Linked DNA regions of Oryctolagus cuniculus. The protein of the gene in region 1 interacts with the protein of each later gene in a biochemical or structural test. Links are inferred from orthologs where the notes say so. Each region holds a gene or a part of one and is shown on either strand. Other genes may lie near its edges.

What was found.
Region 2: the proteins of RFWD3 (region 1) and RPA2 form a complex in vitro, tested with the Homo sapiens proteins (3 studies listed by BioGRID, with this or other methods). The link is inferred for Oryctolagus cuniculus from reciprocal best matches to the Homo sapiens genes RFWD3 and RPA2.

Annotation. Positions count from the first base shown.
Region 1 is NC_091449.1:57,204,269-57,208,081, reverse strand, and holds the end of RFWD3 (E3 ubiquitin-protein ligase RFWD3), read left to right. Parts: intron 1-1,047; coding exon 1,048-1,191; 3' UTR 1,192-3,356; downstream 3,357-3,813. UniProt on the Homo sapiens protein: E3 ubiquitin-protein ligase required for the repair of DNA interstrand cross-links (ICL) in response to DNA damage. Plays a key role in RPA-mediated DNA damage signaling and repair.
Region 2 is NC_091438.1:143,738,621-143,742,433, forward strand, and holds part of RPA2 (replication protein A 32 kDa subunit), read left to right. Parts: intron 1-1,652; coding exon 1,653-1,766; intron 1,767-1,943; coding exon 1,944-2,038; intron 2,039-3,813. UniProt on the Homo sapiens protein: As part of the heterotrimeric replication protein A complex (RPA/RP-A), binds and stabilizes single-stranded DNA intermediates that form during DNA replication or upon DNA stress.

The DNA.
Region 1 (3,813 bases):
GTTTAAGATAATTTGAAGCACACAGTGCCTCCTGTAAGGTATACTTGAACCTAAGTTTAATCAAGGCTGATAACAACATTGTCCAGAATACTAGCCACTTGAAATGTGGTTAGTATGAGTGAAGAACTTTGTTTTAGTTAAATATAAACATGGCTAGTTGCCACTGTTTTAAGAGTGCCATCCTGAGACTGTTGTTAACCTTCACTGACTGGAATTGTAGGGAATTGAGCCACAAGTTGAATGATAGCACAGAAAGCAAACAAGCCCAGGTTGTGGGCATTCTGTAAGACAGCTGACCCAGCTTCTGCAAGGTGGGGGCAGGGGGAAATCGGAGATTGGATCTGCTCTGGATTTAAAAGAAATAGCTACCAAATGTAATGTGGACCTGATAGAAACAAACAGGATGTAAAAAAAAACTCCCCGGGAAGTTTATGTACCAGGTTTTAGATAATAGTATATTCATTTTGTTGGACATGATGGCATTGAGGTGTTAGAGATGCATACTTAAGTAAATAAGGGTAAAATGGCTGAAGCTGGTAGAATAAAAAAAATAGGGTTGATAAAACAGATATAGTAAAAATGTAATGTTGAATCTAGGTGATGAGTAGCTCATTGTACTATTCTGTCTACTTTTTTAAGTGCTTTTAAATGTTTTTAGTAATATTAAAAGTTATTAGAAAGGAGAAGGAAGCACAGTTAAAAGGTATGTTCCCTGAGGACTGTAACAGGGGCTTTGTCTTACTGATCCTTTGTCACTAGAAATGACGGCCCTAGAAGACTTCCTGGTACAATAATTGAAGAAATGAGTACCAGGCTTGGTTTTCAAACTCATTTCAAAGTTGGAATAACTGCTGATTATCCTAGGTGAAGCTATACTTGTACCATGTAAGGTATGCTGGCTTTTGTGATACCTTGTGAAGGTTAGGAACAGTTTGTTTGCTCCCCAGGCATGGCTCTCTCAGTAGCTCTTTCAGAGTTGTTTGATGATTAAGAGAGCAAATCCCCAACCTGAACTGACTACTAACCTTTGTCTTTGCTTTTCTTTAGCTGTGGGATGCCAGCAATGGCTCAAAGTTACAGGACCTGCAGACTGATCATCCTGTCTTGGACATCTGCCCATTTGAGGTGAACCATAATAGCTACCTGGCCACCTTGACAGAGAAGATGGTCCACCTCTATAGGTGGGAGTGACCATGGTTTTGAGCTTTCAGATCTACTGATGGTTCATGTTAAATGCTTTTTGCTAGCACCTAGCAGCCTTGAGTAATATTCCTGTTTATTGCTTGTGGACAACTTTTGGGATCATGGTTCTTTTGGATTAATATGATTCTGGGACTCCAGGTCACTTAGACACTACAGATTGTGTATCTGCTATATCCCTTAAAAGAGTAAGTACTGGTGGTCCATCTTCATTTTCTATTTCTTGAGTTACGAGCCTTCTTGAGTCTTTTTTGGGAATCTGTCTTTATTTCCTGTCTTTCTGTTGGACCTGAGAATATCCTCTCAGCAGTCTTCTAAGATAGGCGTGTTCACCAAGCGTTTTCCAGGGGATATGACACCCCACTTGAATGGTCTTTTCACTGGGTTAATTGCTTTGAGAGTCCTGCATTGTTTGCTGCTTGGATGCAGCATGGATGTAGAAGAGTCCTTCTCCAGTTAAACACAAGAGGGCACTGTGGAACCTTGTGTGTGATTTAATTTATTTCTCAGCCTAATGGCTGACCTTTTGGTACCTTGGTCTCATCTCCACAGAAATGTGTGGTAGAACACATCTGGCATGCTTTGTGGCAACAGTAGTTACGTTTGAGGCACACGGTGCTGGAATGTCAGCAAGCCCAGTGATGAAGGCAACTGATGAGTGTTAGAATCTTTGCTAATGCTGAGTACATTAAACTCATTGCATATTTTGAGATCTAAAGACAAAAGACCAGTTGTTTGAGCAATAGGGAAGGCTTGTATATTTAGCTATTTTAGGATCTCAGGGTTAGTTTTATCCAATTCAAAGCTTTAAAGACTACTGCTTTCCTCTCTCACTAGGAAAAAATGAATGATATGTCAAAGCTCTTATTTTAGTCTCACCTAAGATTGAGAGCAAAGGACTAAGAGCTCACAGGAGAGAAGCTACACTCAAACCATTTTTGAGGATAGAACGGCTTGTTTTTTACCATTTTGAGAGTTCCTATCTCAATAAAGCCAATCCCTCAGAGTAAGGGACTGTTCTTGAGCATGTTTTTAGTTCCCAGGTAAAAGCTTTCCTCTCTGAAATTGATGTTTGACTCTTAAGTTCCTCTGATTTTCCTCCATAATGTTTTGTAAAAGTGTAGGTAATAAAAGGTTATTCTCAGGAAGAGAGTGGTGGCTGGAGACCCACATGGTGGCAGGGAGATGCTCACCAGCTGTCGTTCCTCTCCTGCACTGGCCAGCACTGAGCGCTGGTCTCTCCACTGGAGGCTCAGTTTCTGTTTGCCTCAGGCTCCTCTGCTGAACCACCGTCTTCAAGGGGTGGCAGGTCACTGCCCTGTTCTTTGATGCAGGATGTTTTTTCTTACATGATTGTCAGAGAGATGCTACTTTTATTATAAAACAATTCTGAGCTATCAACTGTCTGGAAGGTTGCCAGGATTTTTCTCATTGTTGTGGATTTCCCCAGAGTTCCATATTCTAGTTACTAACCTTTTTAATGGCCTCCTTCTATTTGAGAACATCTTTATAAAAGCCACCTTCTGGAGTCTGGGCAAAACTCCCCTTTCTTGGTGGAGATGTTCCTTATGATATGTTGATTAAGAGTGGCTCCCTGGGCCCGACACTTCAGTAGAAAGTCATCTGATTTCAGCAGACTGGCAGAGAGGATGCGAGTGGTCAGCCTCTGACTGCCTTTCTCTTTGGGGTAGGTTAGGATTTGACTTGCTTTGAAGTCTACTCAACTGATACTCATTGGTTTCCCCTAAGAGTAGGAACTAAGGGATTTGTTACTAGGGAGGTTGGGTGAATCTCAAGGTTTGCCTGACCTTGCATTCCTACAATATGCTTGGATGTTTTGGAAGCGAATTGACGTGACTATGACTGATTTCTCCATGGGAAATGGGGGACCACCCTACTTGCAGGAAGCTGTACCTGACTAGCTCTAGTCCACTGAGCACTACCAGGGTCTCTGTCTACCATGTTCCCTTACCTCTGTCTACCTCTGGTGGTTTTCCCATTAGAGGGTTTGGAGTTAAGCTGATTTAAAATGTCTTTTGTATGTTTTGTGCCTGCTTTGAAAATGGGGCAATAGATTGTTGTTCATATTCTGTTTTAATGTTTGTATTTTCTGCTTTAGTGTTAATAAGAAAATAAAGAGTTTGCCATGTGTAATATCTCCTAGTGTCTTGTCTCTTTGACTACTATAGCCAGGAACAGGTCATCTGCCTCTTGGCAGAGGGATGTAACCCCAGCCTGGTGTAGATTTTTCTATTGTATGCATACTATATCTGAGTTACCCAGGATAGCTAGTATCTGGTTGTGAAGTAAACATCTTATTGAAAACAATAGAGGTGGTTAATATTTCAGCTGTGGGGCCAGTGCTGTGGCATAGCAGGTAAAGCCGCTGCCTGCAGTGCCAGCATCCCATATGGGCACCAGTTCTAGTCCCAGCTGCTCCACTTCCGATCCAGCTCTCTGCTACAGCCTGGGAAAACAGTGGAAGATAGCTCAAGTGCTTGGGCCCCTGCACCCATATGAGAGACCTGGAAGAAGCTCCTGGTCCCTGGCTTCAGATCAGCGTTGCGGCCATCTGAGGAGTGAACCAGCAGATGGAAGACGACACACACACAC
Region 2 (3,813 bases), on another chromosome or scaffold:
GGTGGGGGTGGGGTAGTGGCAGCAGGCAGAGGGGAATTCCTGAAACTGGTCTTTCCCGTGACTGGGGGTGTGGGTATGAAGACAGTAGGATGAGACCCATTTGAGATTCAAGGGCAAGGAATATATTCCTATGTGCATCTCCTTTGGGCAGCGAGGGAGAATGGCTGAGGCTTATGTCCTTGTCCATCAGAGAGCGTCTCCCCAGACAGGGAACAACATGTTGAGAACAGAGGCGAGTTTGAGGGTGGCAAGAAGTCAGGCGCAGCTTGGGAAAGTGTGGGAGAAGTCAAGAGGAAGTACAGAGTGGACTTGAGTCTTGCATGTCTAGTCTGTTTTCACAGGCAGAGGGAGCCACCGGACAGCTTTTAAGCAGAGCAGAGACATGTTCATAGGAAAATGCCAGGGGTAGCAGTGGGGGGCAGGGGCTTTGATTGGCATACGGGAACTAGAGCCTGAGGTACCAGTGAGCGGGGAAAGAATCGGCTTCATTCACAGGCCGTGGTGATCGACTGTGGAAGTCTGCAGGGTTGGGATCGGAATTGGTTTACTAATGGATGTGGGCTATAGCAGCGGAACAGGTTGGGGAGGAAAGTAATGGATTTGACTTTACTCTGAGTGTCTGAGCTATCCAGGTCGCAGTACCCAGTGGAGAGCCAGCAGTGAGAATGGTCAGGAAGAGGTCTATGGGAACTGTCACTTTTTTTTTTTTTTTTAAAGATTTATTTATTTATTTGAAAGGCAAAGAGAGAGAGGTCTTCCTTCCGTTGGTTCACTCCCCAATTGGCCGCAGTGGCTGGAGCTGAGCTGATCCGAATCCAGAAGCTTCTTCTGGGTCTCCCACATGGTGTAGGGAGTCCTTGGGCCACCATCTTCTATTCCTTTCCTAGGCCATAGCAGAGAGCTGGAACTGAAATGGAGCAGCCAGAACTCGAACTGGTGCCCTTATGGGCTGCTGGCACTGCAGGCAGCGGCTTTACCTGCTACGCCACAGCGCTGGCCCCGTCTGTCAGCCTTTTTTGTAGACAGTAGAAGAGGGAGCTATAGTGGTATGTGAGAAGGTGTGGTCAGCAGTGTGTGCTTCTGAGACGGCAGGCTCTGGGCAGAGGGAAAGAGATGTGTGGGTCACTGGGGGAAAGGTCGTGACTTTGAAGAGAAAGTTCCAGAGGTAGATTTGGGGAATTCCGATAGTGATGGGCTGAGCCGGGACCAAGGAGAAAGGAAATAAAAACAGTGCTTATAGGCTCGCTTTGAGGAGTCTGGTGTTAGAACGGAAGGAGAGACAGTGGGGACTGTGTCTCCGTTGGTCTCTCTGTGTAGCCTCGTGCCTCGCTGACCGGTCAGTCAGTGCCCAGGGGATTGAGCCCTGGGGTCCTATCACAGCAGGTCTCTGGGGCTTTGCTCTCCATGCTGCCTTTCCTGTGGTTCTCACACTGCAAAAAAGAGGAGCTAGGAGTGTCTGTCTGTCTGTGTGTCTGTCTGTCTCTCTCTGATATTCTGTGCTGCAGAGGACTATGAAATTCTCATCAGATAGTAGCTGTCCTTCCAGTGTGAGCAGTTGTCATTGGGAAAGCTCTTCGCTTAAACTGTTTCTTATCGGCTGCTTATTAACAAATTGTTTGAAATATTTCTAACGTTGTGAACTCCTTTTTTAGCTCCAGCCCTCAGCAGGGAGAGCATCTTTCAGCAATCCAGGAATGAGTGAAGCAGGAAACTTCAGCGGGAACAGCTTCCTGCCGGCAAATGGCCTCACTCCAGCCCAGAATCAGGTAGCCCACACCTGTGTGGCCTCAGAAATGTTGGCAGTCGGCCTTGCGTGGCCTTGCTTCCTCAGTGCACTAAGGCTCCCAGTACCTGGCTCATTTCTCCCTTACAAAGGGACTGAGGTTTGAAAAGGGCAGTGTATTTATGTGGTTGCTAATATGTTTCTGATTTGAATCTTGAAGGTGCTGAATTTGATTAAGGCTTGCCCACGACCTGAGGGATTAAACTTTCATGATCTTAAGAACCAACTCCATCACATGACTGTGGCCTCGATCAAGTGAGTATTGGGTTTCTGCAAGCTGGGGTTCCACAGTTGTACCCATTTCACCTCATCAGGGTTTCCTAGGGTGGAAAAGTAGCCTTTGGCACAGCAGTTGTTACCACTTGGGACACTCACATCCCGCAGTAGCTTCTCCACGTTCAAGTCCCAGCTCCCCTTCCAGTCCAGCTTCCTGCTAATGCTAAGGCGCTAACTCCAATAGTTGGGTCCTTTTCACCCATATGGGAAATCCAGTGAAGTTCATAGATCCCAGCTTTGGCCTGGCCCAGCACTGGCTGTTGCAGGCATTTGGGGAATAAACCAGTACATGGAAGATTTTCTCTCTCTCTCCCTTTCAGATAATAATTTAAAAATAAAAACCAGCAACGCAGTAAAAGCTTGCTACAACCTCATTGACAGAGGGGAAGTTGTTCAGCGCGGATACATGGAAGGACTCAGGAGAGGGTGCTGCTCGGCACATTCATAATTTTTTTTTTATTTTATTTATTTATTTTTTTGACAGGCAGAGTGGACAGTGAGAGAGAGAGACAGAGACAAAGGTCTTCGTTTTCCGTTGGTTCACCCCTAATGGCCGTTGCGGCCAGCGCGCTGTGGCCTGTGCACCGCGCTGATCCTAAGCCAGGAGCCAGGTGCTTCTCCTGGTCTCCCCTGCGGGGCACATTCATAATTAATTTGTTCATTCAGCAAACACTAAGGTCCGCTATGTAAGAGACGTCATTCTGAGCAGCGGCCTGATACCTCGTGGGCTTTACACTACGGAGGGAGGTCCCTAGCTCCTGACCCTCCGGTGTCCCCTTGCGGACGTGAGTGCATTGGGCTCTCTAGACTGGAAGCCATTAGACGGTCTGCTGACACCTCAGTCCACTTCAGACGAGCAGCTTCCTGCCGCAGTATGATGAACTGGCCAGACCGACTGAGCACTGCTTTGCTTGGAGGTGGTTATTTGTTACTGTGAACCAGTTGATAGTGTAGGCCTAGATAGGAGAGAATGTCCAGGTGTAATTCCATTTCCTGTTCTGTGAAGTGAGGGGAATAGCCCGTATCTCAGAGTGCTTGTGATGATGAGGAACAGTGTACCATAAGTGCTTTAAGTGACTTCTTTTTTGAATGTTTACTTATTTATCTGTTTGAAAGGCAGAGAGAGAGACATAAACAAAGATAGCTTCCACCTGTTGGTTTACTTCCAAAATGCCTACAAAAGGGCTGGACCAGGCCTAAGCCTGGAGCCTGAAGCTCCATCTGGGTGCTCCCATGTATATGGCAGGGCCCAAGCTCTTGAGCCATCATTTACTGCCTCCCAGGGTACATTAGCAGGATCGGAAGCAGAGGAGTGGGACTCAAACCAGCATTCCAGTAAGGGAGTGGGCGTCCCAAGCAGCAGTTCAGCCTGCTGGCCACAGTACTGGCCCTCTACAGATAGCTGTTTGGTGGCCAGTGTCATGGCTCAGTGATCAAGCCACCATTTCCAGTGTCGGCATCTCCTATCAGAGCACCTGTTTGAGTCCCAGGTGTTCCACATCTGATCCATCTTCCCGCCAGTGCACCTAGGAGGACAGCAGATGATGGCCCAATTAGTTGAGTTCCTGCCGCCCATGTAGAAGACCAAAATGGAATTCTGGGGTCCTGACTTCAGCCTGGCCCAGCCCTAGCTTTTTCAGGCATTTGGGGAATGAACCAGTGAAAGCAAGCTCTCGCTCGCTCGCTCGCTCTCTTTCTTTCTGTAGCTCTTTCAAAGTAAGAAAATCTTAAGAATAAAGATACCATCTGGGTCT